Oreochromis niloticus: one gene and its partners. Each later gene encodes a partner of the first gene's protein in a complex. Links are inferred from orthologs where the notes say so. Each region holds a gene or a part of one and is shown in the gene's direction. Other genes may lie near its edges. The genes, in order: snrpd2, gemin2, cwc15 and cript.

Evidence for each region.
Region 2: snrpd2 (region 1) and gemin2 share a complex: the UniProt entries of both Homo sapiens proteins name them as parts of the SMN-Sm complex. The link is inferred for Oreochromis niloticus from reciprocal best matches to the Homo sapiens genes SNRPD2 and GEMIN2.
Region 3: snrpd2 (region 1) and cwc15 share a complex: the UniProt entries of both Homo sapiens proteins name them as parts of the minor spliceosome. The link is inferred for Oreochromis niloticus from reciprocal best matches to the Homo sapiens genes SNRPD2 and CWC15.
Region 4: snrpd2 (region 1) and cript share a complex: the UniProt entries of both Homo sapiens proteins name them as parts of the minor spliceosome. The link is inferred for Oreochromis niloticus from reciprocal best matches to the Homo sapiens genes SNRPD2 and CRIPT.

What each region holds. Positions count from the first base shown.
Region 1 is NC_031979.2:15,055,100-15,062,728, reverse strand, and holds snrpd2 (small nuclear ribonucleoprotein Sm D2), read left to right. Parts: upstream 1-4,772; 5' UTR 4,773-4,918; coding exon 4,919-4,920; intron 4,921-5,793; coding exon 5,794-5,973; intron 5,974-6,678; coding exon 6,679-6,853; 3' UTR 6,854-7,125; downstream 7,126-7,629. Other genes in the region: foxg1c (forkhead box protein G1c), read left to right, coding at 1-642. UniProt on the Homo sapiens protein: Plays a role in pre-mRNA splicing as a core component of the spliceosomal U1, U2, U4 and U5 small nuclear ribonucleoproteins (snRNPs), the building blocks of the spliceosome.
Region 2 is NC_031983.2:25,158,301-25,165,621, forward strand, and holds the start of gemin2 (gem-associated protein 2), read left to right. Parts: upstream 1-4,313; 5' UTR 4,314-4,469; coding exon 4,470-4,594; intron 4,595-4,745; coding exon 4,746-4,830; intron 4,831-5,481; coding exon 5,482-5,571; intron 5,572-5,718; coding exon 5,719-5,778; intron 5,779-5,926; coding exon 5,927-6,043; intron 6,044-6,439; coding exon 6,440-6,484; intron 6,485-6,578; coding exon 6,579-6,647; intron 6,648-6,886; coding exon 6,887-6,997; intron 6,998-7,159; coding exon 7,160-7,218; intron 7,219-7,321. Other genes in the region: mia2 (cTAGE family member 5), read right to left, coding at 1-2,847, 2,974-3,060, 3,523-3,656, 3,747-3,852, 4,177-4,203. UniProt on the Homo sapiens protein: The SMN complex catalyzes the assembly of small nuclear ribonucleoproteins (snRNPs), the building blocks of the spliceosome, and thereby plays an important role in the splicing of cellular pre-mRNAs.
Region 3 is NC_031975.2:10,962,441-10,969,972, forward strand, and holds the start of cwc15 (protein CWC15 homolog), read left to right. Parts: upstream 1-4,527; 5' UTR 4,528-4,667; intron 4,668-5,352; 5' UTR 5,353-5,363; coding exon 5,364-5,494; intron 5,495-5,688; coding exon 5,689-5,801; intron 5,802-5,904; coding exon 5,905-6,005; intron 6,006-6,099; coding exon 6,100-6,210; intron 6,211-6,322; coding exon 6,323-6,450; intron 6,451-6,562; coding exon 6,563-6,692; 3' UTR 6,693-7,532. UniProt on the Homo sapiens protein: Involved in pre-mRNA splicing as component of the spliceosome. Component of the PRP19-CDC5L complex that forms an integral part of the spliceosome and is required for activating pre-mRNA splicing.
Region 4 is NC_031973.2:10,623,942-10,631,897, forward strand, and holds the start of cript (cysteine-rich PDZ-binding protein), read left to right. Parts: upstream 1-4,950; 5' UTR 4,951-5,086; coding exon 5,087-5,102; intron 5,103-5,272; exon of another isoform or gene 5,273-5,350; coding exon 5,351-5,416; intron 5,417-7,956. Other genes in the region: pigf (phosphatidylinositol-glycan biosynthesis class F protein), read right to left, coding at 52-165, 1,576-1,684, 1,791-1,907, 2,298-2,389, 3,024-3,251. UniProt on the Homo sapiens protein: As a component of the minor spliceosome, involved in the splicing of U12-type introns in pre-mRNAs. Involved in the cytoskeletal anchoring of DLG4 in excitatory synapses.

The sequences.
Region 1 (7,629 bases):
ACATCGGGAAAACTGCGGCGCAGAGCCGCAGCTGGCTCCAGGGCCAAGCTTGGGTTGAAGAGAGGAGGCGGTCGTGTGATGCCCTCCAGCACTGCAACTAGCGTCACTCTGGCCGCAGCCAGTTCGTTTTACTGGCCGGTTCCGCCGTTTCTACCTCTCCAAGCGCCGGTGCGCACCCACCTTGGCGCGGGGACTTACCTGAGCGCGCACCCTCGCTTCTCCAACCACGCCACGTCGGTGGTCTCACAGCGGGCCCGACTGAGCGCAAACGCTGCGGACGCTGACCGGTTCGTGCAGACGCACCAGGAGATGTCTTACATCGGACTCAGTTGCGCGCAGTCCCGTCGCCACCAGATCGGCGCCGCGTGCACCGCCTTCTCCACCTCCATCCCCGCGTGCACGCTGCCGCTGACAGACCCGTGCTCTTTTAACATGATCTCCGGACAAGCCAGCTACTTTTACTCTCACCACATACCGTGCGCCGCCACGTTTAGTCAAGAGGAGTGCGCCACCTCCAAGACACCAGCGGCGACGTTTTTACCCAAGAGCGGTCACTCAGACCTCGGAGGATGCTGCGGTGACTTTTCAAATTACTGCCCTCAAGTCAGCCCGAGCCCGTCGTCTTGGAATATAGAGAAATAGATAAACAGTCCCGACAGCCAGTATGTGAGATTTGAAACATTGCTGTAGATAGTTTGCTAATTGTTGGAAACAAAAGGCAAAGCCAAAGAATCCCGATGAATGATAAAAATCCTGCAATATTTACCCAAATGTCTGCGTCACAGTGGATGTCTCTAAGTAAAAAAGCGTTAATAGACTTGGATTATTTCTCAGAGTTGCAAAGTTTAAATGACCAAAATAAATGACGCGTGGACTATAAGTCTTAAAATACTTCATCCGACAAACACATTTCCGAAAATGAGCAAAAAAATGTGTTTTTGCATATAATGTAAATCCTAGGATATGCGCGGATATGCGCAGATCATTTTTTAATGCAATTAACGTTCACCGAGTTTGCATCTGCTTCTGAAATTGTACTAGAAAAAATATTATCCTTTGTTAACTTTCCTCATCAATGATTTCCCACATGTATGTTTATTGGTATCAAAAAGTGAAGGGTTTTTTGGCGCATGTCACCAGTTTTGGTTTGAAGGGAGGTGAGAAGAAAACACGATTTTAAACATGAAATAAAATCGAAAAATATATAACTCTTGATGAAGGGATTTGCTTTCTCCAGCATGGTGTCCAACACATTAAAATATTACTTCGAAAAGGTTCCAGCTAAATTTTAAACGAACGGGTGGAACCGGGTTTTTTGGTTTGGTTTTTTGGATTTTTGGATTTTTTAGTCCACTTTTTAAATTATGAGTTTTCAGTTTGGGTGAAAATGCGATGTGAAAATGATACTTAAACTGCTCATTTGCTGCACTTATTGTCTTCGATTTCGTTAATGTTGCAACCATATATATATTACATTCCCATTTTAATGACCTTACATGTAATTAAACGATAAATAATGCATTTTTAATTGTGTTTTCTTTTTACCTCATTAAAAGCTGCTGTTGTTGATTGTTCTTATTTGGCTGTGTTATTAAATGTTTCACTCTGGAGATTTGAGCCCGCACAATAAGAACTATATATAGACTGGATTGAATGTTTTAAGGAAAGGTTGTGAGGCACAGAGGCCTCTGTGTGGGTATGCTCTGAGCCATTCTTTTTTTGTTTATGAACAGTTCCACTAAAAAGGTTTCTCGAGGAGATATCGTGTGGAAAAGGTTGTGATGTAACCTCAACAGGTAGACATGGCATTTCCAGTCGCGCAGATCTTATTGATCTGTCTTGTGTTTCAACCTGCGCTGACATCACTGCCTGTTAAACTTTCCCTCACCTCTCCTCCCTGCTGCACCCTGGAGATTTAAATTAATAGATGTATGTGGATGCAGATTAGAGCAGCTGTCTCTTTTAAACAAAGGGTTCTTTATCAAAAACATAAATAGAAAGAAAAAAAAACCTCACCACCTTTCCAAAGCCAGCCACATCCACAGTCACCTGTGGTTAAAGCAGACCGGGCTGGATCAGGTAACTCACTGTCTAGATAGATACAAAAGATAATATTTACACTTTGGCATGAAGCACTGTGGCACTGTGGTGTGCAGAGCAGCAAGGGGGGGGGGGCTTAGCTGTGAAGCAACAAGCTTTTGGTGCAAAGTATCCTGAGGCAGGAGTAAGAAGATACTGTTTGCTGTTAGTGCAATAAATAACATGTTTAGTTTGACAGCTCTACTAATAACCATAGAGCTATAATTCACCCTGCTACAATAAGGTTTCGCTGGTTTTTGGTGTGCAGGAAGCTGCAGAAATGTAGAAATTATGATGGCTTTTTCAAAACCAATCAAAAGTTTTAAAAAAAAAACTCTTTAGTTATCATCTCTTTCTGCTCAAATTTCAGTTTTCAGATACATTTTTTAAAATGTACAACAAAATGTAAAGTGGGAATAACACCTCTGTTTGTTCTGTTTGATTTGGGTGAGTAGGAAAGGGTCTTTGAAGACCCTCACGTATCTGCATTTGTTGTTCCCTTAAAATTAGGTTGGAATTCAGTTGCTGAGCATGAAGCAGTCCATGCCAGACCTTCGACTTCTCCCTCCACATCATTTCTGTTTGGAGAAACAGAGCAGCTCTTTAAAGCCACTGAACATTCTGCATCAGTATGTCTCAAAGTGCACCTGTTTGACGATCAACATCAGCATCAGTGTTTGCCAGCTTGTTTCTCCCACGCTGCAAAATTTTCAGGCTCTGTTTAAGCTCCAGTATTTTCTGTCAAAAAGAAACCTTGTTACCACAAGTTACCACAAATTCTTCTTCTTCTTATTATTATTATTATAAATCAAACAGATTTAACAGATTTTTGTTGTGCACTGAAAAAGAGCTTAAAAAACACTTATGGGAGAGGGTGGCTATCCGTCTGTGCCCGGCATGTCCTTGTTCAGTGTAAGGTGTTGTACAGGTTCAGTTTCACTAACATTAGACTCTAAATCCTTTCCAAATGTAGAGTCAATCTGTCATACCCACACCTCTTTGGCACACGCTTTCTGGAGGTGTCCTAACGTGTTCACGTGTTTGAACTCAGTCTTCAAAGTGCTGTCAGATATTTTTTTCAGACTAGTAATTCAGTCTGACTCTTTCACCATATTTGGGATTTTGGGTGAGAATAATAACCTTCCTGTAAATGAAGTGCAAATAACAAAAGTTGCCACCTTGTGCTGCTTGAGGGAAGTGATGCAAACTTAAGATATTAAGATTTACAGTATGTCCACAATATATTTTGATAAATCTGAGGGAATTGTAAATCCTTTAAAATCCTGTTCACTTTCTTGCAGGTCTATCCATTTTCTTAGAAACACAATCCAATTAAATGAATCTTACAGTTACTTTGTGCATCTGCATGTCTGTTAATGTGTATGTTTTGCTTTATTTTTTGTTCTCACTGTTCTGTCTGTTTTGAAAGCCAATAAAATTTAGGTTAACAAAAAGGAAACTTTACTTTTTCTACTTGGCTGTTTCACATATTTTCTTCTTGTCTTTTTGGTTAGTTACTGAGTATTTGCCTGCTCTCTTAACTGAACAAAGTCTTTCCAGACTCCCACTTTTCCGTTTCATGTATATGAGCTCATTTTACACCACAGTTTAGGATGCAAGACTTTTGGCTGAGCTAGGTGTGCTCCATAAAGATGTAGCCCAGCAGCGCTGGTAATCGATCCCAGTCAATCACACTCCCCTCCCTCAGCAGCACACAGGCTGCCATTATCTGCAGCAAGTGCTTTCGACAGGTAGATCTGCCACCACTGAAACAAGGTGGGTGGGTTGGACACCTATAGGCGTCTGTCTGTCTCTTGCCAGAAAGCCAATCTCCCTCTCTCAGACATAGACGTGCTCTTTTTACTCGTTCTTGTTGTACCGAAGAGCAAAACAATGACTTAACTGTTTGAGTCTGCATATCAGTTTGACTGCTCTCTGATTTATTTCTTTTATCCTATAACATCTTCTTAAGAGGTCTGAGTTATATTGAGTCCCAAACCGTTATTATTATTATTATTATCATTATTATTATTATTATTATTGTTATTATTATTAGAGTATCAGTATTCTTTGCAGAAAAAAACATAAAATTGCTCTATTCCCTATAATAAGAAAATTATGCTTTTAAACTGAAAGACAATTTGAGCATGCTTACATAAGAATTTATCCTGTATTTAATATGTTAACAGTGATGTCAATTTTATATGTATATACCATATTTTACTACACGTAATCTCATGGGCTTACTATAAAAGTTAAAACCATTTAAAATTTTTATGAACTAATAGAAGGATTTATAGTTTATTCTGTACTCAACTGGGAGCCAATGAAGTGACTTAATGTGAGGACTCTTATCAAACTATATGATTACCAAAACTGACTATCCAAAAAAAAAATGCCAGGGTTCCTGATGCGCTCATTGTGTTTCAGAAAATTGGATGATAAATACGATGAAATGTTCTGTCTCTGATTTTCTGGACTAACAACAAATATTTGTCTTACCTCTTAAAATTCAGCAATTAATGTGTCATTAGTTTGTGAACAGGATAGATCATCGGAGTAGAATAATAAAATCATATCTAGTCAGCTTTTAGAGGCAGTCTATTGAATAAAATGTAAAATATAATGCAATTAATGATGGAAACGGTGTGTTTCAGATTGACTTTTTTGTACCGTTCAGTTAGCCTGTAGTAACCCGGTAGTTGTAGCGGCGTTTTTGAAGCGCCTTCCAATAGACCCGGAAGTAGTTTGATCCACGCGAGCCATACGGAATCGTTGCAGAGCGAGCTGAAAACGACCGAATTGTTACAGAGTGAGCTGAAAACGACCTAAAGAAATCATGTAAGTGTCTGTGATGATCAGCTATTGTTGTGAGAGACTGGTTATTCTTTCAGACACTGAAATCCGCTAACAGCGAGCATTTAAAAGGCTAACATTGTTAGCCTTTCTGCTACCCGGGCCGGTTAGCTTGATGTGCTTGATTCTTTGTAGACGCTTTCGGAGCTCTCCCTTTTCATAACTAGCTGTGTTACAGATTTGTTGTAGTTACATCAAAAGTAGTTCGTACATCTGGTCTTCCTTGTTGTACAGTTTAAAAATACTGATTCCGAAATCAGACTATAGCGTAAATGCTAGTTTGCTAAATGCTAACAAGAAACAAAGTGTGTGAGCGTGCGTTTTCATGCTGGTAACTAATTGCGACCTGTAGCAGTCTAGTGACGTAAAAATTATTATTTTTTTAAATAGTTTAAAGCATAAAAGTCCCCAAACATGTCCCAAAATATGACCCACTGAAGCTTTTAAATGGCTAGGTTTAAGCTTCAGTGTGTTGTGTGTGTGCTGTCTGATAAATGCATCTGTGCTCAATACCAATTTTACAGGTGTAGCGAGACATTTTACTTTGTGTACCGTGTACAGTTTAAGTTTTCCACTTAACTTTTTTTCAGTAAGTAGTCACACAACAAATAATGAATAAATTCCAGCAAAATTTCCTAATAATAAAAAAAAATATCAAAATGTATAATTAGTCTATCTGTACCTGAGCTGTGGCAACGCACAGATTTCCCTGCTGTGGGATCAATAAAGTCTTGTGTTATCTTAATAACAAAAAACCTCCAATAGTACTACTTTACTATTTCAAATATATGCCACTGTTATTGTCACACTCACTTATTAGGATACTGTTATGATGTTGTCTCATTGTTTCATTTGCAGGAGCCTCTTAACAAAGCCCAAGTCAGAGATGACCCCTGAAGAGCTTCAGAAGCGAGAGGAGGAGGAGTTCAACACCGGCCCCCTCTCAGTCCTCACGCAGTCAGTGAAGAACAACACGCAGGTCCTTATAAACTGTCGCAACAATAAGAAGCTGCTCGGAAGAGTCAAGGCTTTTGACAGGTACCGAATTGGACATTTATTTAGTATTTAACACTCTTGAGGGTATAATGTGAGACTTACTTGTTTATATCAGTGTGTTTTATATCTTGTTTCTTTTGTCTGTTTTGTTAGATTTAAGCCTTTATTTCATTATTATTGCTAGCCACTGGTGATAACATGTTATCGTGTCACTTTGGTCCCTTTTTAGTATTCACTCGTTTCTTATTTTTCTCCATTGGAGTCACATTTAGCACCTTTAATTTATTATGAAATATTGCCCTGTCTTAAAGGTAAAAGTAACCAAACACATTTAGTTTGTAATTGTTGTATAATGTTGCTGGAACATTGTCCTCAGGCACATACAATCATTTTAATGAGCTGGTTTACTCACCTAATGAGTGAAAGATCCGCCAACTCCTATTGACGTTCCATCAGAAAGATCTGTTATAGAAATTGAAACATACAGAACTACCCACCGGAGTAACCCATTGTGAATGAGGTAGCAGCTGAAAAGTAGTTTTTGTTTTGTTTTTTCCATTTTAGGTATAATATTTATTTATCATTTCTTCTGATACTGCAGAAGATTTAAAAAAAAAAAAAAAAATCACAGAACATGTACATGTAAATGCATATGTATGAGTACCTGAGTAAAATCACAGGTATTTTATTTATGTATGCATTTATTTTCTCTAACTTGCTAACATTACATCCTCACCGGCATTTCAGGCATTGCAACATGGTCTTGGAGAACGTGAAGGAGATGTGGACAGAAGTTCCGAAGAGCGGGAAGGGAAAGAAGAAGTCGAAGCCCGTAAATAAGGACCGCTACATTTCTAAAATGTTCCTCAGGGGGGATTCTGTCATCGTGGTGCTGAGAAATCCTCTGATCACAGGAAAATGAACTCTCTGAACCGCTCACCTATTCTTTTCTTTTTTTTTTCTTACACTTCCTCAAGGCAATTGATTGTAGTTGCCGTAACCTTATTTGTTTTGATTTTGATGTTGGATCACTGAATTCACTATTAAGACAGAAAACGTGTCATCAAAAAGATGTTTCTCCCATTTTGACTGTCATTTAAAATGTTAGGCATGAAAGTGACCAATTTTTTTCTTTGTCTGCGGAGCTTTTCTGTCTTTTTCATTTTCATAATAAAAGTGATGAAGAGATGAAAACATTGTGCAGATATTTTTACAGCTTTTAGAGTGTATGTAGTTTACATTACACAAATGTAGACTAGTCTTTATATTATTAATTTCTCTGACAAAAACTGGTTTTATGTTTTCAGATTGTCTGTTTATCCCATTCTCAAGAATTCAGTATTTCAGCTTCATCACATTTGGTACATCTATTTATGTTCACTTGGGCTAAAAATCAACATCCCTGAACACAAAAAACATTTTGGCTCCAACTAAAGAATTAATTTAATAATCCCTGCACGGTTTCACACAAACATCTGACTTGGTCTTTAACTTTACCAGTAATTAAAATGATGATGTGATAAACTTGAATAACCATAACATTTACAGTGACACCATAACGTCTCGCCAAAAAAGAAAAAGAACTTTGCTTATTATTCACGGCCAGAACACAGAAACAAACAGGAGGATTTTTATCTGTATTTTAGATTTGTTCTGACACAAAAAGGTGACTTTAATCTTTGTCGCCCACTTGAAGTC
Region 2 (7,321 bases), on another chromosome or scaffold:
AACCTCTGCTCGGTCAGTCTCTTCAAACTTTAGCTCCTCTGCCTTGGCTTTTTTTTTCTCTCCATCCTCCCCATTTTTTCCTTCCACATCTTGGTGGCTTTCAACCTGTGCGACTATTTCAGTTAAAGATGATCCTGAGCCGTTCTCACCTTGTGTATTTTTGTCATAGGTTTCTGTCTCTTCTGTGTTCATGGTGCTCAGGATCTTTGCCTCATAATAAGAAGACTGCACTGTTTTTCCCTCTTCATCTTTCTTCTCTTTTTCCTGTACACCCTCCAATTCTTCTTCCCTCTGTAACTTCTCCACCTTGTCCTCTTTTTCCTTCTCTGGTAACTCTTCCATCTGCAGCTGTTTTCTATCCTCCTTTAGCTCTCCCATCTCCCCCTGCATACTCTCCACTTCTGCCTCATTAGTCTCCTTTTCTTCCTCATCTTCCTTTTGCTCTTTCACCATTTTCCCTTCACCTTCTTTCTTCTCTTTTCCCTCTAGACCCACCAGTTCCCCTTCTTCCATTAACTCCTCCACCTTGGGGTGTTTTTCCTCCTCTGTATTCAAATGTTTGTTAGCCTCCTTTAGGTCTTCCACCTCTCCCTGCATGCTCTCCACTTCTGCCTCATTACTCTCCTTCTCATCTTCCTTTCGCTCTTTTATCTCCTTTAAATCCTCCAGTTCCTCGTTATCCTCCACCTTCATCACCCCTTGATTCCCCCCATCCTTTGACTCCTCCTCTTTTTCAGCCTCTAATTCAGAGCTTATCGCTGACTTCAGGTCATTTTCATTTAAATCTTCTTCAGTGCCTGATGCCTCTATCTCTATTTTAACCTGCTGGGACTCGTTTATGTTGTCTTCAACAGTTTCCTTTAGCTTGCCTGCATCACTGTCACTTTCATTGTCAATATGCTCCATCACTGGAGACACAGAGGGATCTGTGGCTAGTCCACTTGTTCCTCTGTCATCCTTTGGGATAGTTTGAGTGCTTCTGACAGGGTTATGCTGTGAATCCAATTCCTGTGAGCTCAGAGTTTCTCCCTCCTGCTTTAACTCCCCATGAACTGTCTCTGCTTCTGTGTTATTATCAAAAAGAGCTATTGTATCTGAATTGTCATCATTTGTTTCAGCACTATAAGGAGTAAAACTTTCATTCTCAGCTGGAACTGGATTGTTTTTCTCCATAGATGACGGTAAGTGAGGCTGGCTATCTTTGCTACTGTCTTCTACATCACCGTTCAGCTCCTCAGTCTGAGTTCCAGATAAATCTGTATCCTCATTACTGACTTCTCCTTTATTATCGTCACCCCTGGCAATTTTAAGAGCCAATTCTGTGGTTTCTTCTTCTGTGTTATCAGTTTGATTTGTGATTTCTGCCCCTTCCTCCTCCACACTTTCTGATTTCTTGTTCTCCATCTGGTCTTTTTCATCTTCCTTGACCAGCACAGACTTTGACTTTAAATCCACTGAAATGTGATCAGGGCCCAAAATGCTTTCAGATGGTGTTATAGAATCCTGACTGATAGCACTCAGAGTTTTTCTTTCTTCCTCTCCTGGCTCCCTGCTGTTATCCATATGTTCAGCGTCTTCACCTTCCCTTTCTGCAGATCTGTCCTCATTAATTTTGCTTTTTTCTATATTGTCATCATCATCTTTACTGGAGAGTGATTCTGCTAAAGCCTGAGATTCCTCTTCAAACTTCCTATCAGGAGAAATATCTTTGTGATCAACTGTGGGTTCAGCCTCTTCATGGAAATCACTGTTTATCCCACTGTATGAAGTATCTGTGTTGCTATCAACACTGTGACCATTAAGGGGTTCTGTAGGGGTATTTTGGTCTTCTGACAGTTCTTCCACCTCCTTTGAATTATTGCTTGTCTTAATAATTTCCTCCTCTGGTTCACTGTGATCCACATTCTGCGATCCTGTTGGTTGCTCTAAAGTTGTGACTATTTCTACCTCCTTAGATTCACTTTCTTTGTTTTCATCATCTCCAACTTTATCTTTCCTGAAACCTAGAATACCTCCAATCTCCATGTTTAACCAAGAATTAGCCTGCACCTTCTCCTCCTTCTCCTTCTCCTGTCCTGACTCCTGACTGGTCAAACCAAACCCCAGCGTGCTTGACAGCCCATTCCCTAGCCAACCTAAAGTCCCCATCTCTTTCTTCTCCTCTTCCTGCAACTGGCTGCCTTCAAGGTCCAAGGACATCCTCCTGCTCCTGAATTTCTCTGTGGGTTCTTTGTCTTCATCTGCTTCTTGTTCCTCTTCTGTCTCACTTTTGCTTCCACCTCCAAAGCTGAGCCACCCAGTCATTGTTGAAGTTAACGATTCAGCAGTTTCTTCTTTAAATTTCACACTTTCTTTGCCATTGTCAGGTTTTCCATTTCCTCCGAAGCCCAGCCAACCTGTCACAGAGGACGTGAGCGAAGTTTCAGCCTGAGTTTCTTTCCTCTTATCTTCTATCTCCCCTTCAGCCACACTGTCAGGTTGGTCCTCTTTACCCAGACCTAACCATCCTGTCACTGAAGAACCAAGCCAGGAAGAGGAGGGAGACCCACCTTGTTGATTAGGAACCACAGGAATCTCATGTGTCTCCTCTTGAAACCCAGCTCCGGAACCACCAACATTTTTATTCTGATCCTCTTCTTGTTCTTCTTCTTCCTGTGCAGAAACTGGGGAGTCTGAGGTTGTTAAGTGGCTTTCTGCTTTCGTGTCATCAGTGCTTTGGGTAATTTGGGTGGTTTCTGGCTCCTGGATTTGGATTTTCTGATCAATATAATCATCATCGTCATCATCATCATCATCCATATCCAGATAAGTGGAGCCAAACTCATTCATGCAGAAGAAATCAGATTTCTGCAGAAAAAGGGCAAAATTGTAATTCTTACGGAAGGACACAAGGAAGACAAAATAGAAATAATACTAATAATTACAATACTTTTTAATACTTAAAGTTTGTTTACATGTGAATGATGAAATTACCTGTGTTTCCACTACTTTCTCCACAGTAGTATAAACCTCCTCTTCTTGCACTGTGTCCTTTGGAAAATATCCAAACTCTTTGTCAATCTGAAATAAAAAAGGAAACAAAGGAGCTGTCAGCATTTTTCTTCTTTCTACCTTGAAGAAACACAGAAATCTCAACATTTGTCGTAACAGATTATTCTTTAAAAAGATGCTCTGTCATTTGGTGTTTCTGCATTGATGATGACTGCAAACATAATCTTTTATAATAATCAAATAATTCATTCTTCCTTTGCACAGAGAATTGGGGCACTGTTATTCTGAAAAAGACCAATCCCATCAATCAAAGGATAAAGGTCATCACACAAGTTTGTACTGATTGATTTGAGGTTGCCCTTTCATCCTAGGGAAACACCCTGGCAGCAAACTGCCCCAAACCTCACAGTATTACAGTGCAGGGGTCAAGGGATTAGGTTTTCTTTCTGTCTGTCTCTAAGTGAGCACCTGGCATGAATGAAGCTTTAGGGAAGCACAGAAAGGAAAAAAAGATTGAAATATGACACATACACTGCCTGCCCACAGGTCATTCCTCTTTCCAGTCAATTTGTGGTAAACAAAGATTGTGTCTCCTTGCCTGAAGCTCAGGAAACGACAGTCCTTACCACGGTGGTCCCTTATGGCCTGCACTCTGCTTAGGAGCCCTGCACACACCACAGCAATAGAACACAGGGGTGAGGTGACCATCATTATCGTCATTAATTTAAGGAGCTATCAGGAGATTTTGAACTTACTTTGACACTCAGAGTCTCCGCAGATCTTGTAGTCAGACAATAATCCGAGATTTAAGTGGGGTAAAATCACTAAAACTGCACCCAGTGACCACAGGAACCTAGAGACCTGAAAAATAGCCATGATTATCTGACTTTTAACTGGAGGCTATTAGTAGTAAATGTCCATAGTGGGGTGGAAATAACTCAGGCCCGTTGTGCTGGCAAGTGAACATTGCCTCTGAGCTGCTGCTGTGTGAAGACTCAATACTAAATGAAACAGCTGAGATAAGATATAAGGCCAGTATGGGGATAATCATTAACATCTCAGGCCTGCTTGCAATACCAAATATTATCAGTTCGCTGGTCAAAGGTTTCTATTTCGTTACAAGACTTAATTTTAATGGAAAATTGCTTTAATTGACATTTAATTGAGATTTTAATGCGTACACACATAAACGAGGTTCCGGGTAAACGCCATGGCAACTAAAAACAGACCCATTCTGTTATTTTCGACCTTTCTCCAGGACTGACAGCTGGTCTGTTGCTGTGGCAACAAGGCAAACGCGCGCACAAAGACGACGTCATCACTGTGCGTTTGTTTTGCGAGAGAGATGGCGGTCTAGTCTGGTTGTGTTTACTCTTGGTAAAAGGTTAGTGTTTTGGTCCGTTGCGAGTCCGTATTTTTAATTGAGCTTGACTGCTTCATTTAGCTAAAAGCTAGCCGAGCTTACACATTCAGTCACAATGAAGTCAGACGTAGAGGAGTTAATGCCGAGGCTGCTGCCCATGGAGTGTGGATCCGGTACCGGTGAGGACCTGGACCTAAGCGGACCGCCGAGAAACCCCCAGGAGTACCTCCGACAGGTCCAGTAAGTGCATCCCAACCTAAAGAACACACCTCTTATTAATACTCGCGTGTAATTAACTCTTAGATTCTCTTTGCCTGTTGTCTCTTTGGTGTGTTAATATATTAGTTGAGGTGGTCGTGCTGCTTCAATGAACTTTTTTCCTTTTGGACAGGCTGGAGGCTTCATTGTGCCCAGAGGTGGTGGTCGCTCAGATTGACCCAAAAAAACTAAGGAAGAAGCAAACAGTGAATGTATCTGTAAGTAAACTGAGAGGCAAATGTATTGAGACCAGTTGATGCTCCAGGTGTATGACAAATTAAAGAAAATTACAAACCCCTGACCTTGATAGTGAGAGGGTTCATTAGCTTTGTTACTGTGTGGTGTCTGCAAAACAAAGTATTTCAAGTATTTTTACCTTGATGTGAGCAGTCAGTCCCACTCATCATGCATGTGAATGGCCTAAAAATGTTGGGCTTTTAAATGATTTCTTTGAATTTTTCTTTTTTTTTTTCAGGATGGAATGATTTTAAAGCATTCACTTCAATAACCTTGAAAAACAAGAATTGGGTGCACAAGTTTTAATTTACTTTTGATTTTCTGTAATCCACAAAGAGTCAAAACATTCATACCCACGATGAGTGGATGGAAACTTCTGAGCACACCTGTATGAATCTTTCTCAGTATCGTTTCATAGTTTTCATTGCACAGTTAGAAATGAATGATAGGCTCTGAAAAATGTTGTGCTGTGTTCAATTTTTACGTTGATCATGTAAACAGTATACAGAAGTTCATTTAGCAAAGAAAAGAAGATGCTATACAAAATAAAACAAAATACATTTCAATAATGCATCACCTGTTCTGATTATTTCTCAGTTACATTTTTTGTGGGGTTGTTTTCTGGTTTTTAGGTGGCAGGGTGTCATGCTGCTCCAGTGGGTTTCTCCCCAAGTCTAAGATGGCAACAACAGCAAGTCAGCAATTTCTCTGAAATCAGACAGGTAAGAGCCTTTTTGCTGTTATGATATTATACAATAGCACAGCCTAACAGAATTCACTAAAACTTTTTGTAGGTCCAAATCCGCACAAATCTGTACAAGTGGATATTTGACAATTTATGAACTTTTACAACATTTTTTTCCCTTTAGAGTATCACAAGGCACAGGAAACACTGGACCAGCCAGACTCTAGATGACAACGTGCTGATGGTGATGTGATAATGTGTAAATTTGATGCTTCAGCATGCAATGCTTTCCTCTAATAACCTAATAAATCCCTCTGTCTTTCTCCAAGAGGCAAACTTGAAAACAGAATTTATGTTAAAATTTTATGTATGCGCGTATTTGTGTGTTACAGCCAAAGCTAACGGATGAGGAGGGTTGGAAGAGGTTTTGTTTAGGAGAGAAGGTCTATCTGGGCACTTCATCCACCCACACAGATGCAGAACAGGAGCCAGCACTGGACTATAGCAAGGTTATATATGTAATGGCTATATCTCAATGTTTTGTGTCATCATGAATACAATCTGTAAGATTTTTTGTCAGTAAAGAAGCTGTCGGTCATGTCTATCACCCATTGGATAATGAGGTTTTGAAACTGGACCTGACACCACACACTTACAAGTAACAACCTGTGATTGAAAATCTTCCTAATAATGCCAATAATTTAAAAAAAATCACTTCATTTTGTATTCAGTGTGAGCTGAAACTAGTGACTGAGTCATCAGGGAGTTGTGGGCCATTTTTCCACAGATTTCTATGTAAATGGAAGTGTTTTTATTTAGAGTGAAAGCACTTCTGCATCTGCATTACTTTTCAGACCCAAAATATGTCCTGCTCTATTTACCTCAGCATTTCTCTGTCTGTTCAGATGGGGTTCCCTCCCTTCCTAAGCATCATCAGCAGACTAAACCAGGTAAACGATCCCTCTGTAGACATTCAAGATGTTCTAAACCAGTCGAAGCCTGATTAGACGATGTGTGTGTTTGTGTTTTCCCACCTGTCCACAGTCCACAGTGCTGATGGTGTTGGAAATCCTCATCGGCTGGTTCGAGGAACGAGAATTTGTTCCACAGTTGGTGAGTCTGATGTATTAGCGACACATTTTTATGCTGGTTCCGAACTCCACACGCATTTATAGTGATCCTGTGCTGCATTCAAGATAGATATGAGCTGACTATGAATGCATTCCTCACAGATATCATGAAACCAAACATTTCTTCAGCCTCTGTCTTATGTTTCAGATATAGAAGGTGATGGTTTATTGGCTGCAGTTATTGTGAAATACTTGAGTTTGCAGTCTGTCTTCTTGTTTCAGGGACGCTGGTTGTATGCTTTATTGGCCTGCTTGGAGAAGCCTCTGTTGCCTGAAGCTCACTCATCCATCCGACAGCTCGCCCGGAGATGCGCCCAGCTCCGCAGCACGTTGGTAGGCCACAATCCTACCATCTCCTGTAAAGCACTATCTCTATGTGCTATCACTCCATGCTTGAAACGGCCACAGCATGCCATGTTTTTCTAGTTCTTTGTTGAGATTTGATGGGATTTTATTTACTCTGATAGTCTTTTCCCTGCTTGCATGACTTCACAGGACAGCCAGGAAGATGATAAACTGCCCGCCCTCAACCTGCTCATCTGTCTTGTTGCCAGGTAAGGTTCTCTGTATTTTTGTTATATGGAACTCTGTGTAAAGAGAGCCCCTTAAATGTTTTTTTTTTTTTTTTTTAAACCACCAGTGTCTAAATTGTTCAGG
Region 3 (7,532 bases), on another chromosome or scaffold:
TGAAAAACTTAAAATGCTTTTCTAGCAGTTTTTCTAATGCACAACCACTATGTTTTATCTGTCATACTCTACACACATTCCCACTTCACCCCCCTTCGCAACCTGTAAAGCTGTATTCATGTACATAAAAACTAATCCACCATGATAAAGTGATATTGAAGCATTTACTCTTTGTTATTAACACACATGGACAGTTATTATTATCTGAATAAAACCATTTGAGCATACCAGAAGGCATTCCACAATAAAACTTGTGGAAAAATCTAATCTGCTTGTAAACACTATTAACAAATGTCCCTTGTGCACTACCCTCTCCCCAGTCTCTCTGCATCTTGTCATATTGCGCATCTGTTTTGTATTCTCTTCAAGCGCCTGTTAACATTTTGACCTGTGCTTAGTGCTTTAATCTCTTGTGATGAATCTTTCTGGAGATGTGCCAGCCCCAATTAAGCAGGTCAAATTCATTATTCATAGAAAAGGAAAGCAATTCAGATTTGGTAATGAGCCCCTTCTCACACAGGCCGTGAACAGGGGTGTGAAGTCCATTTTTGTGCCGTATTGTGTTCTCACCTGTTTGTGTCAGAGCAGATCAGTGTCGGTCCTCCTCCGGGTCTCTGTGACACGCGAATGAGATAGCAGAAATACCTTCACCGGAGCCCCACCCCCTGCAGTTTCAGATCCCGCCCCCACCCCTCTCCCCTGTTAGTTTTGAAGTGCCGCACCTGGATGATGCTACACAGGCTCATTGAGCAAGCGGATAGGCTGGGTGATAAGAGGGACAGCACTGTTTTGTGGTTTCGATTTTTCTGTGAGTGTGAGAAGTCACATTCCAGAGATGTTTTCTAGTGAGATTTTCAGTCTTTGCTGAGAAGCAAATTAAAAATAGGCTTTTATAACCTGCCTGACAGCTTAAAGGTATTTAAATGAACCCTGCAGGTTAGTGCTTGATCCTGTTTTCTTTCCTACTAATGGCTATAGCAGGGGATTAAACTGAACTCAATTCTGCTCAATATTAATGTAATCTCTTTATACACTTATTGGTGCGACCCTCCACAACAGTCCCAGTTTCTCATGTGGCCCCATGGGAAAATTAATTGCCCATCCCTGAACAATAGCCTTTGTGCCACAGAAAAAAAAGTAGACAACTGAAAACCTGCATATCATTAACCACAAAAGTTTTTTTTTTTTTTCAAATATAAAAAGCTTGTAGTATTGTTTCACCCACAACAAAGACTTTCTTTCACAAGCATACTGTTCCAGTTGGTAGGCTTCTAGGAATCAAGCGGGACCAGATCTCAGAGTTGTTCGAATTTAATCTACTGTCTCATCAGACCTTTTTAATAATATTTACATTGAAAATCCTTGAACCGAAATGCCCATTCTCTCCAGTGAAAATAAAAGAGCACGGAGAAAAGCTTAACCTCATTATCTGATGTTTACTTTACATTTTAATAAACTGAAATATTCACATTTTGGTCTGTGGGTGTACAGGGGACTCTGTGTGCAAAAGCGATTAATGTGTTTTTTAATTCTTGTAATGGCTGTGGCTCATAGGGTATACAGCAGGTTGGTGGTTGAATTGCTGGCTGTTCCAGTTTGCATGCCGAAAGCATCCTTGGGCAAGATACTGAACCCTGAGTTGTTTCCAGTGTGTTCATTGGAGTGTGAGTGTTAGACAGGAAGCACTTTATGTGTGAATAAACATTTTGTATAAAGTCCTTTGAGTGCTCAGGTAGAGTAGAAAACCAGTATATAAGAACTGGTCCATTTACTTTTCAGGTTTTTAAACGTAAGGGTATTCACTTTCTTTCACTGAGGCTAACTCAAAACCTGTAAAGATGCCATGAAAATGTTTAACTTTTTTTTTTTATAACTGTGTCATTCTTTTTTATTTTTCCAGTTTTCTCCCAGTTTCTATACTTCAGTTTGTAAAGTTTCACAATAGGGATGTGTATGTGTGGGTGCACAAGTATAAGTATATATATCTGTAAATTTGTATATCTTTTGACGTGTTACTCAGGTAATAAAAGCAAATACATGTAACAAATTGTAAGGAAGAATTTATGATGGGTAGGGCATGAACAGGAAGAAAAAGTGTTGACTATTAGTTACTAAATAGTGGAAAGGTGGTGGGATTAAATAATTTTATGCTTCTTCCTACTCCTTTTTGAACATGTAAGTTATTTATAATTATTATTGTTTTGTTTTCCTTTAGTTTTGCTTTGCTTGTTTGTCTATTTAAACATGTTCAAAATAAAGATACAATACAAATACAAATAAAAGTATTGCTGCTTAGACAAAAAATATTTGAATGGTAAGTGGAATCCAGTAGAACCACTTCTTTTCCTGGTTCTCTCACAGAACAGTATCGAGATAAAAGAGAAACCATCGAAGTGGTGAATGATGTGTACAATTAGTAATGAAGGAGTGTACTTTTTTTTGTGTCATTAAAATGCATGTTACAAACATAAAGGGGCCAACGTTAAAAGTGTGTGTCTTTTTCAACACAACTAAGTTATATTACTACTAATAATAGAATAATAGCAGTAGGAATTTTGGTGAGTGTAGCAACACTACTACAAAACTACTGAATGTACAGGGTGGGCCATTTATATGGATAGACTGTAATAAAATGGGAATGGTTGGTGATATTAAAGTCCTGTTTGTGGCACATTAGTATATGTGAGGGGGCAAACTCCTCAAGATGGGTGGTGACCATGGTGACCATTTAGAAGTTGGCCATCTTGGATACAACTTTTGTTTTTTCAATAGGAAGAGGGCCATGTGACACATCAAACTTATCGGTAATGTCACAAGAAAAACAATGGTGTGCTTGGTTTCAACATAACTTTATTCTTTCATGAGTTATTTACAAGTTTCTGACCACTTATAAAATGTGTTCAATGTGCTGCCCATTGTGTTGGATTGTCAATGCAACCCTCTTCTCCCACTCTTCACACACTGATAGCAACACCGCAGGAGAAATGCCAGCACAGGCATCCAGTATCCATAGTTTCAGGTGCTGCACATCTCATATCTTCACACCATAGACAATTGCCTTCAGATGACCCCAAAGATAAAAGTTTAAGGGGGTCAGATCAGGAGACCTTGGGGGCCATTCAACTGGCCCACGACGACCAATCCACTTTCCAGGAAACTGTTCATCTAGGAATGCTCAGACCTGGCACCCATAATGTGGTGGTGCACCATCTTTCTGGAAAAACTCAGGGAACGTGCCAGCTTCAGTGCATAAAGAGGGAAACACATCATCATGTAGCAATTTCAAATATCCAGTGGCCTTGAGGTTTCCATTGATGAAGAATGGACCCACTATCGTTGTACCCCATATACCACACCAAACCATCACTTTTGTTGGTCCAACAGTCTTGGAGGGATCCATCCAATGTGGGTTAGTGTCAGACCAATAGCGGTGGTTTGGTTTGTTAACTTCACCATTCACATAAAAGTTTGCCTCATCACTGAACAAAATCTTCTGCGTGAACTGAGGGTCCTGTTCCAATTTTTGTTTTGCCCATTCTGCAAATTCTGTGCACCGATCTGGGTCATCCTCGTTGAGATGCTGCAGTAGCTGGAGTTTGTAAGGGTGCCATTTGTGAGTAGCTAATATCCGCCAAAGGGATGTTCGACTAATGCCACTCTCCAGTGACATGCGGCGAGTGCTACGCTGTGGGCTCTTGCTGAATGAAGCTAGGACAGCCACTGATGTTTCTTCATTCGTGACAGTTTTCTTGCGTCCACAGTTTGGCAAATCCAACACTGAACCAGTTTCACGAAACTTAGCAAGCAGTTTGCTAACTGTAGCATGGGAGATGGGTGATCTCGTAGGGTGTCTTGCATTGAAATCTGCTGCAATGACCCGGTTACAACGTTCACCAGATATCAACACAATTTCGATCCGCTCCTCACGTGTTAACCTCTTCGACATGTCAGTGGCTGTGCACAAAGAGAAACTTGTAAATAACTCATGAAAGAATAAAGTTATGTTGAAACCAAGCACACCATTGTTTTTCTTGTGACATTACCGATATGTTTGATGTGTCACATGGCCCTCTTCCTATTGAAAAAACAAAAGTTGTATCCAAGATGGCCGACTTCTAAATGGCCACCATGGTCACCACCCATCTTGAGGAGTTTGCCCCCTCACATATACTAATGTGCCACAAACAGGACTTTAATATCACCAACCATTCCCATTTTATTACGGTGTATCCATATAAATGGCCCACCCTGTACTGTGTTAGAGTTGTTTGTGTGACCATTACAGGGAGGTTTTGCTTTGAATGCATCTTCTACGCATCTGTTTGAGCGTTGCACTTAACAGCATCCTCATTTAACTCCTTCACTGTAACACAACGCACTATTCAGAAGACAGGTCACTCCTCCGCTGATGCCCCTGCAGTCTATTTAGTCTATCAGTCTTTCGGAAGTGGTGGTTTCCAAAATAAAATTTAGAGAGGCTGTAGCATATTTGTTAAGTTATACGCGTAGACCCTAGTGGTGTCAACGCTATGTTGAGATGTAAGAAGTTTAAAATCTCTGATTTTTCGCACGCTATTTTCTCTGAGTGTTTCTGAACGCATCTTTTTTTTCCGGAAGTGACGTTGATTGTTGTATCGGTGTTCCTTTCGTCGTGTGGTAGCGGCTTTGTAAGTGTTGTTTCTTTAAACCTAATTTTTAAATACTGCTTAATGAATTTTTTAAATTTCCTTTATTTTTGGCTGTAATATCACTTCTCTGAAACATTATCCGTCTTACCGAAGGCTCGAATTAGTGTCGTTTTCAACCTCATCGGCGTTGTTATAGGAAGTTAGCGTAGCAGCGTTTTAGCTTTAGCAGCTAGCAGGCTAATTTGTTCTTTTCATTTACTGCCTTTTAGCAGCTGATATTTATCTTACAAAGAAGTATTTAAAATGCCACAGTCTCAATTTAATCAGAAAATTGTTAATTATAGGTTTAATTGGTTGACCTGGAGTTTTAGCAGGTGAACAAATGATATTTATTAGGAAAATTACGTAACTTGTCATCTAAATGCCTCTCAACTGTTATTTACGTTGCTAATATAGATATACACGTGAACTATAAGCGGTTTGATCACCACTGAGGTTTAATGAGTAGGTAATTGATATTTGGGAAAGGGTATGTTGTACCAGCTTGTCTAAAAACCAAAAAGATGAGCCTTCTGACTTTCTATAAGGCACATAAGTGGAGTAAAAGCGTGTTGTGTTGTAGGGCACTACAATTTGATTATGGACACCGTGTCTGCTCTGCTTTTTCTGCTTGCAACTTTTCCACCTGTTTGATAGGTTTAATGTCTTCTTTGTCCCATTGCAGAGCCATCAAAGATGACTACAGCTGCAAGACCAACATTTGAGCCGGCAAGAGGAGGGAGGGGTAAAGGAGAAGGTGATTTGAGTGCTCTCTCCAAGCAATACTCCAGTCGAGATCTTCCAGGTCACACAAAGATCAAGTACAGGTCAGAAGATCAAATGTGAATGGAGTTTTATCATTGCCTGATCTGCTGGCTGGTTAGCTAGAAGGAAAGATGCTTTCGGATCAGTTTGTACTGCATTATCTGTCTGCTCACTGTGAGATTGGTGAAAGTGTTCCAGAAAGCGTTCTGGACGAAAATTACAATTTATTGATCTGCTAATGTTTTCCCTTCTGCAGGCAACCTACCCAGGATGCCCCTGAGGAGGTCCGTGCCCGTGACTTTCGTAGAGAGCTGGAGGAGAGGGAGCGTGTAGCAGCACGTGAAAAGACCAGAGAGAGGGGACCAAGAGGTTGGTCTTTCTGCAGAAATTAGACTTCCTGTTTATGTAAAATATATTTTAGTGTATATTTATTTTCTCACATATGGCATTATGTTGGTCTTATTTTTTCCAGAGCACACCACATCATCATCATCTTCTTCGTCATCTTCAAAGAGGCCAAGACTGGATCAGATCCCAGCTGCTAACCTTGATGCTGATGATCCTCTCACTGATGTGAGTGTCTACAATGCAAGACATTTTGGGCACTTAACTTGAGTAGTGGTTAGTACTGATTAATCTCCCTTAACAATGATTTTTATTTTATTAGGATGATGAGGACGAGGACTCTGATCAAGATAGTGATGATGATGACACTGCAGCTCTTTTGGCTGAATTGGAGAAGATTAAAAAAGAGCGTGCTGAAGAGCAAGAACGCAAAGTAACTGTGTTTTAGGCTGTTCTGTTTGCACTAACTAAAATAAGACGTTACATTTGGTCAGAAGAAATATTATTTCTTTGTATTAAGTAAAATTTTCTTTTTTCCATCTTAGGAGCGAGAGCAAAAGGCAGAGGAGGAGAGAATTCGAATGGAAAATATCTTGAGCGGCAATCCACTGATTAATTTGGCTGGACAGCAGCAACAGAACCAGACACAGAATACATTCAGAGTCAAGAGAAGGTATGTCTCACTTATACACAGTCACCCACAGTATAACCACAGGATGAGCTTTGTATTTGAGAAAAAGACCTCTTAAATCTAATCTTGATTTCATTTCCTAATATTATTCAAGGTGGGATGATGACGTAGTGTTCAAGAATTGCGCCAAAGGAGTGGATGAGGCACGGAAGGAGAAACGCTTTGTCAATGACACACTGCGCTCTGAATTTCACAAAAAATTTATGGAGAAATATGTAAAGTAGAGGACTTCCTCTGTGTTATTTGTATTGTTTTTGTTTTTATTATCTAATGTGTTTGGTCTCCTTCCTCTACCCTCTGTTGCAGAGGGTACATGGTTTTTCAAATAAACTCTGTATACAACTTCATTAATACTTGTACAGTCATCCATCTATCCATGCTATTAACCACGTATCCATCTGTACAGTCATGCTGTATATAAATGTGTCAACGTGACATCTTTGAGTGAAATTTGTCAAAAGTTAAGTGCAGTTTTTAAATGTGACCAAGCATTTATTTTCTTTTGGGTTTTTTTCAATAAACTGGCAGAGATTATATAAACCAGCATCTCCACAAATGCACAGTTAGATTAGGATCCAGTCAGATCATCAGATGGAAATGTCTTCCTTCTGTTTAGCCACTCCACACACACAAACATTTCATTTTAAACAGTGTAGAGATCTGCAGTCAAGCCTTTATTTCTTTATGCAGCCATCTGCCATCGACTTTTTTCTGCTTATCTTATTCAAGGGCACAGGGGCGCTGGAGCCTGATTTAGACTTCTGTGGGAAATTGTAACGTAACCGGAAAGCCTTCTTAACCCTACACCGCAACCTGATCTGCACCACTTGAGAAATATAGCTACACATCAGGTCGAAGCAGACTGCAACAACTGAATGACATGGAAGGTTAGAGCGTAGAGTTAAGACGGGTTTCTGGTTGCAGTAGAAAGAACAACTTGGATTTCCTGCAGAAGTCTAAATCAGGCACATCCCAGCTGTCATTGGGTGAAAGGCACAATACACCCTGTCTGTCGCATTTCTTGTCAAATTAATTTTTTTTCAATAAATTGTCTTCATATTAAA
Region 4 (7,956 bases), on another chromosome or scaffold:
ATCGTGGATACATTCGCACAAGCACAGGCATAATACACGTGTGTCTGACTATCACTTGCACTTGTATGTGAGCTGTTTGCGGTGATAATGGATCCACGCTGGAGCTGCAACAAGCCCGGTCAAGTAGCCGAACAAAGAGCCAAAACTGCAGGAAACAGGCCAGACCTACAAAAACACAGAAGTAGTAGAAAAGTGAGCATGATTGTTCACTAAAAGCCTGACACTGGTCCGATACATCAAAGAGAAGCTGAACTATTAGTCTGTCAATTTGAGTTACACCCCAATTACCTCTGCATTTTCCTTCAGTCATTTTACACAGAATTCCCTGTGCAATTATAACTTTAATGTGTTCCATTTTCCATTAAAAAAACAATCTAATTCATTATTCATTGGCTGATTACTCTGTCCAGTGCTTAAAAAAAAAAAATCATCGTGATGGAGAATTTGGAAGTTAACAACTTAAATCAACTACAAAAAAAAAATGTGTAATTTACACCAGCTTTTTCACTCTGACAGCTACCACACCGGCTTCATGCAGGTTAGTGCCCAGTATCATCCTCTGGCACACTTGTGTTATATATCACCATAGCAACCTATCATTTCATTCCTGCTTTTGAAAGACAATCTTTACTTCTGTCACTACAGCACATCAGCCTGATGTTGCTGCTATTAATACACGTGTATTCCAATTTTTTTACTGTTTTCTCTTCCTTTTCTCCCCTTCTACAACACTTTTGCTACTCACCAACTAACAAAGCAGAAAAGTACCCATTTAAGGTCATTTTAAAGGTATTTTTAACGGAATAATGAAAACACAAGGACATCCACCTCCTCCATTCATCAAAATGAAACCAGTAATTTACAAGTCCATGCAGTTAAGAGGCCTTTGTGAATCCAGCAGTCATTTGAGAAAACCTCAGAAAAATCTAAGAGAGGCTTCGCGGGTAATATGGTTTAAATGGTCGTGTTAGTTCCCTGTCTTAAGAGCAAAAACTCCACTGTGGATAGAGAACATTTCTACATACAGTGGATTAGAGATTTAGTCAGACTCTCTCTTCCAAAGCAAGAAATATTCATTTTATTTGCAAAAAAAATTTAAAATTGACATTTGATTCTCCGTGCTTTAGTGGTTAACAAATTAAACCAGGGATGGAAAAGATCCCTGGTTTCAGACCAGAAGACACAAACCCAGCCTCGGGGTCACAAGCTCAGATAAATGTGAAGGTTGTGTCAGGAAGGGCATCTGGCACAAACTCTGTGCCAAATTAAACACGTAGATCCATCTGCTGCGTCGACACTTGGGGAAAGAAAAAGTACTGAATGTACCTTCATTGCCAGCTAATTTGCTTACAAAGTGCCACAGCCAGACTACTGACTGAGCCAGTTCTTGGGTTATTTTTATCTAAATGAAATGAATGTGTGTAGAGGAAATATCAGGAACCCGTTTATTAAACTGCAGCATGTAATTTAATGAAAAAGGAGCCTAAACATAAAAAAGTCACATGCTAGACTGTATAAGACCTAATGTGAGGATACAAATCCAAGAGTATACGCTTTGTCCATGCATAGAATTACCTGCCAGGGCCTATCCCAGTCCAGAGGTATGGGGAATGCTCCGACCCAGGCTCCAACAAGTGTGCAGGCCACAGTGATCTGCAGACAGGTGTCCCACACAGACATAGCTCTGGAGCCAGAGACAAAGAAAAAGCAAGAACAGTTACTATCTTCAACACAGAGTCATGTGAAAAGCCAGGAGGAAAGAAAAAGAAGGAAAATGATTTCAGCCTTACCCGTGGCGACTGAAGACTCGTATCCAGGCCTGGACGTTGGGGCCGAGGACACAGAGACACCTCAGCGTGGTTAACGAAGTCAGCAGCACAGCAAGGGAGAATGTTTCTAAGGCAGATCTGTAAGAAATGATAGGTTCACGGTATCAACGACAACTACAATAAGAGCGTTATTGACAGTTTTGTTTTTTGTTTAAAAAAAAAAAAGCACATAAAAAAGCAAGCAGAGACAAAGTAAAACACTTTAGATTAGATTAGATGAAACTTTATTAATCCCTCGGGTGGGTTCCTCTGGGAAATTCAGTTCACTTGACTTTTTATAAGTGACAGAATCATTTCAGGGTTTGAAGATTTCTGTAGTTGCCTGCTGTTTTCATTCATTTATGTGTGATCCTTCCATGGATCCTTAGTTTATTGTGTATTACTGTGGCGATCTCTGCTCTCTGCGTCTCTCTTTATCAACCTCTGTTAAACACATACATGTAAACACGAGCAAAAACAACAACTCACTCGATCAGTGGAGCTCCGTATAAGACAACAACAGTGTGGAAGAACAGGCACGACAGGAAGAAGTACAGGCAGGAGCGAAGCAACCTCGACAGCTGCAGAAAAAAAACAGCGAGAAAACAGTCAAACCTTTAAGATCCAGATATAAAAAGATCACTTCCTGGGAAAAAAGATCTTGGTTTGATGAACATGCAAGAGTCAAGTATTCACATTAATTTATATACAAATAAGTCAAGATGTTTTTCTTTTTTTGGAAAGGCAACTTTAATTTTACTTGCCATACCCTGGCCTGATTACTGCCAGACGTGTTGAATTAAAATATCACTTGAACAGAGTCTGTCTGACAAAGTGGAGTAGTCTAAGAGCAACACATTACACCACAATCCACAAACCACACACAAAGACTGGGCAAAAATGGCATCCATGGAAGAGTTCCAAGGACAAAACCACTGCTGACCAAATTTAAAACAAAAGCTTGTCTCATATTTGCCAAACAGCATCTTATTGATCCCCTTAGAATTTTGGGAAAATATTCTGTGGACTAGCAAGACAAAATTTGAATGGGGCAATTAGTGTTTCACATAGGGCCAGGTCGGTTTGGATCGCTTTCCCCCCTTAACAAATGAAACCCTCTTTTAAAAACTGCATTGATTGCACTTTTAAAAAAAATAAAACAGCCCATGTGGCACTGCACACATCACTCCATCATTATTAAAGCGTTATCAGCACCTTGTATCCCAGCGTGTGCTTCTTGGCGGGCGGTGTGATCCCGAGCAGCCAGAACACGGCCACGCTGACCGCGGTGACCGCAGCGGACACCGAGTAGAGCCACAGCAGGTGTGTGCCGTACACCGAGAAGCCCGGTACGAGCACAGCAGGTAGCACCGTCGCCATGAACACCGAAGCGGCGATGATAGCGTGAGTGGACGCCATGGCTCTGATTTCATGGTCCCACATTGTGAAGGCTGTAGCGAACTACAACAGGACACCGACAAATTGAACACAAAACACTTTAAACCTCAACGTAACGCTGGATTTGTAGCACAGGTAACATCCATAGATGAATCGCTTGACCTTGTTTCCGTAAACATGGAACCATGCTCACTTCCGCTTTCACTTCAAAATAAAAGTACAATACTTATTCCTTGTAGATGAGGCAAGACAAAGTTCAATAAAAGTACATTATAGTTTTAACAACTTTAAATATATTACAGACAGCCATGCATTTAGTATACATTTGTTGCTGCCACAGTGAAACGAAAAAGCTTTCATCCAAGACCATGGTGCTACATATAACAGTAAATCAACACAGGACTAATTAAAGTGCAAGTGTGCAAAAATGGCAAAAAACAGTGCGACACCAGATAGAGCAGAACCATACAGACACAAGATGGTGCAATAGTTTTACAAAAAGACTTTAGCATTGTGCAATAAGTACTTGAGGTAATGGAATGTATAAAGGTGTGTGGGTGTGTCAGTCTTGTCTCTGAGTATTCAGGAGTCTGACAGCTTGGAGGAAGAAACTGTTTTGTAGTCTGGCACTGAGGGCGTGAGTGCTTCGGTATGTCTTACCAGAAAGCAGGAGGGTGAAGAGTGTGTGTGAGGGGTGTGTGGGGTCCTCCACAATGCTGGTGGGTTTGTGGATGCAGTTGATTCAATAAGTGTCTGTGTTGGAGGGAAGACAGGCTCCAGTGATCTTCTCAGCTGTTCTCACTTTACGCTGTATGGTCTTGCGATCTAACACGGTGCAGTTTCCATACCAGACAGTCATGCAGCTGCTCAGGATGCTCTCGATACTCCCTCTGTAGTAGGTGGTGAGAATGGTTGGTGGGAGATGGGCTTTTCTCATCTTTCACATGTGAGACCTGGGCCAATGCAATTGGTCCAGTGTAATTCAATCCAAAGTGACAAAGGAGTCATTGAGACTTTTGTGTTTTTATATTTGTGTAGAACATTTTCTAATCCATTTTCAGATCTCTCAGCTGCTCCCTTTATGGGTCTGTGGATCATCTGCCTCCATCTCATCCTACCACTACCCTGCTCATCTGTCACACCAACCCTCTCCACCCTATCCTCCTTTACTACATCCATAAACCACCGTTCATTTTATTATTATTGTGGATTTTGTTTTAAGCCACTTTTACCACAGATTTTTTTTTTGTTGAAAACAAATTGTATGTTTGTGGTATACTTGTTTGAACATAATCCTTTATTTAATCAGTTTCCCTATTTAATCAGAACATGTGAACACTGTCACATGTAGCTAGATGTGAACCACTATTTATCAGTGAGGGCCATTCTTTTTCTACTTTCACTGCTATAACGTTATTCTGACGGGAAATAGAAAAATGAGATTCTTCAGTGTTCTTTAAACTATCTCTGCCTGACTGCTATAGTCGCCTACTGTTTGTAAGCTTTAAAAGTTTTTTATTATTATTTATTGGATTTAATTATTTCACACGTATTTCATACGTTATATTTCACACGTTATATTCACACGTGTGAAATAATGCAGCAGCAAACTTTTAATTTTTAAAGAAAACTTACAGGTTTTCGTCCACTTTACAGATGAACAGGGGAAACTGCAACCAATCACAGAACGGGTTACTTGGACCCTCGCCGAAGCGCAGTAAAGCTAACCAATGGCATCTGAGATTTGAAATCTAGGCTTTAACCAATCAATCGTTTGCGAGCTGCAAGGAAACGGAAGTAACGACCGGAAGTTTACATTAACAGAGAAAGCTAAACGCAGCTAACGCTTCTGCTTCTATTTTAACAAACAAAGAAGGACAATGGTTTGTGAAAAGTGTAGGTATCTCGCCATTCTCCTATCACTTAATTTATTTTAGATCTTCAATTCTAATGTCTTTTTTCCCGTTAAGAGAAGCTCGATGATCCTTAGAAAGCTGGCTAACGCTATGTGATGCTAACTGTTGTTATTACTGTCCTCACTGTTGTTTTGGTTCAGGAAAACATACCTTCACCTTCTAGGCTTATTTCCTTTAAATCCACTGCGTTGCTTTTGTTACATATGCTGCGTTGCTTTTTATCTCCAGGTGAGAAGAAGCTCGGTAAGGTCATCACTCCTGACACCTGGAAGGATGGAGCCCGGAATACAACAGGTGAACAGAGTAAAATCTGGATTTGTTTCAGTTCAATGGCATAATGTCACCAGTGTGCAAGGGCTGCTTGAATGACTTAAAACAAACAAAAGAAAAATAAGAATATGGTTTGTGGCATAGTTCTGGCTCCTTATTTGATTCCATCCACCTTATGCAGTCTACCAGTATCACTGGCAGCATTATGCTACCACCAGTCCTTTGCAGTATAAAAGTCACTTCAAATGAACGATGGTGTTCGAAAAGTTTCTAGTTCATGACCAATCTTGTGCCTTGGTGATTCCTCGTTTCCGTCCTCATTCAAACCTTGGCAAAGTGGTAGCACATGTAAGTAGTTTGTATTTACATACAGTTGTTTGAACTGACGATTTTGGAGTCCACAGTTGTTTAAAATTGCTCCAAGAAAAGTACCTAATTTTGTAAATCTACAGTTCTGCTTTTTAGATCTTCACCGAGTTCTTTTGACTTTCCTATTGTTCTGAGTATTGATGACTCCAATGAGTGTTGTAAAACAAATTATTTTTGTGTTAGCAAAGCGAAACTACCAGTTGTAGTCAATCATGATCACTGAGGAGGAGTTAAGAAGTTTTGGCCTTGTCAGGTTAAAATACATTGTAGAACATTCAGCACCATTTAATGAAAAACTTATGATAGTGTGTGTATATTTTTGATCCTGTATGTATACTTTTGACCCTGTGTGGATTATAGAAAATCCAAACCTGTGCACCCAATTCTTGTTTTTGTTTTTTTGTTTGTTTTTTTAAAGTCATTCAAGATGTGTTCTGTACAATTATTCCCTTGGAAAAGGAACAGTTGAAAGAAATAATTTAAAGTCCAAAATTACTATTACTATTATTCACAATGTACATACATGTACTTTGGAGATGACCTGATATCCAATTTTCTTTTCTTTTCTTTTCTTTTCTTTTCTTTTCTTTTCTTTAAAACCAGTGATAGTAACTCAAGAATATAAGCCTACAATCATCTCTGACTTGCATATCTAAAGGGCTTTTATCTGCAGTTTATGGAGGGCATGGAGTACAACATAACATACCAGCAGACCAAATCACAAACATTCATACAAGATTGTCGAACAAACAAGGCATTTATTTACAATCAATTTACAATAATAAAGTAAACAGAAAAAAAACTACTTATTTTTATTGCTAAAAAAGAAAAGAAGCACCAAGTTACATGTCAAAGCACAAATACAAAGCCTACGCTCCCTGCCTGGCCACAAAAGCTTCTGCTAACATACAGACAAGTTTAACCAAACACAACAGAACAGAGCAGGTCCCACAGGTTTGCCACAGTTCAACTCCCAAGATCACTATAAGTAATCCTGAATCAACATGCATCTCTTAGCTTGGTGACTAAATGCAAAGGGGCACTTGCTGCTGGAGCTAATTACATGGATTTTACAAACAAGCATAATCCCGTACGGCTCTGGCAGTCAGGTGTGGGAGAACTGCAACAAAGACAGGCGAGAGCAGCTGTCTTTCATGAAGTGGCCAAACAATCGGAGGGCATAGCAGACATATAAAGAACTGCACTGATGTATCATGAGATTAGCAAGTAAACTTTTTTAAATGGTTGAATATGTTTTAAACATTTATACATGTTATAATGTGACTCTATGAACTTTAAAAGTTCTCATTTTAGTCCAATTTTTAGAATTTAACTCTTAAAGTAAACTTCAACTAAATTCTTACCACTAGATGACACTCTTTAACCATTAATTGTTTATATAAGTGCTGCTGAAGTGAGAAACAAGGAAATACCGGGTTTGCCCTGAGATTAGTGTGGTACAGTGGTTAGCACTGTCACCACACTACAAGAAGGTTCTGGGTTCAAACTTCTTCTGGGAGCTGATGTGTCTTCCACAGTATGATAACATGCTTGTTAGGTTGACTATAAATCAGTTGTAGATGTGGATTTGAGAGTGAAAAGTTGTCTCTCTGTGTTGGCTGTGTTTGCTGTACCGTGTCTCTCACGCTATGACAGTTGGATAAGTGGTTAGGAAAACACTGATAGATGGCCTGAGATCTGCAGCTATGATGTGCTAATCACACAGAGCAAATGTGTTGTTATTGTAAGGTGAACTCCACTGAGCCTAAGCACTGAGGACTTGATGAAGGCTATAACTATAAGGCTATAACTTTTAATGTAAAGCTACTCTCAAGAAAGCATCTTATTAGCATCCGTTACTAGTAATTACAGAAAAAAACATGAAAGGAAAGAATAAAGATTTTTACCCACTTAGCTGATATCAATCATTGCTCTATGAGAACGGTTAACTGAGATCCAGTGCTTCCTGGCTTGTATAACCTTTCTCTTCATATTGGAAGTGGGAAATAAACTCCCCAAACAGCTACCTAAACAGGATCTGAGAGTGGATCACAGTACATTAATCAATCACTGTCCCTGTTGCACGGGCTAAACAACTTTTTTTTGGCCAAACACCGTGCAGTATAAGTAAAATTAGACAGTTAGCACATGGCTGACATTACCAATAACCTCGCTCATCTTTCCTGTGCAAAAGC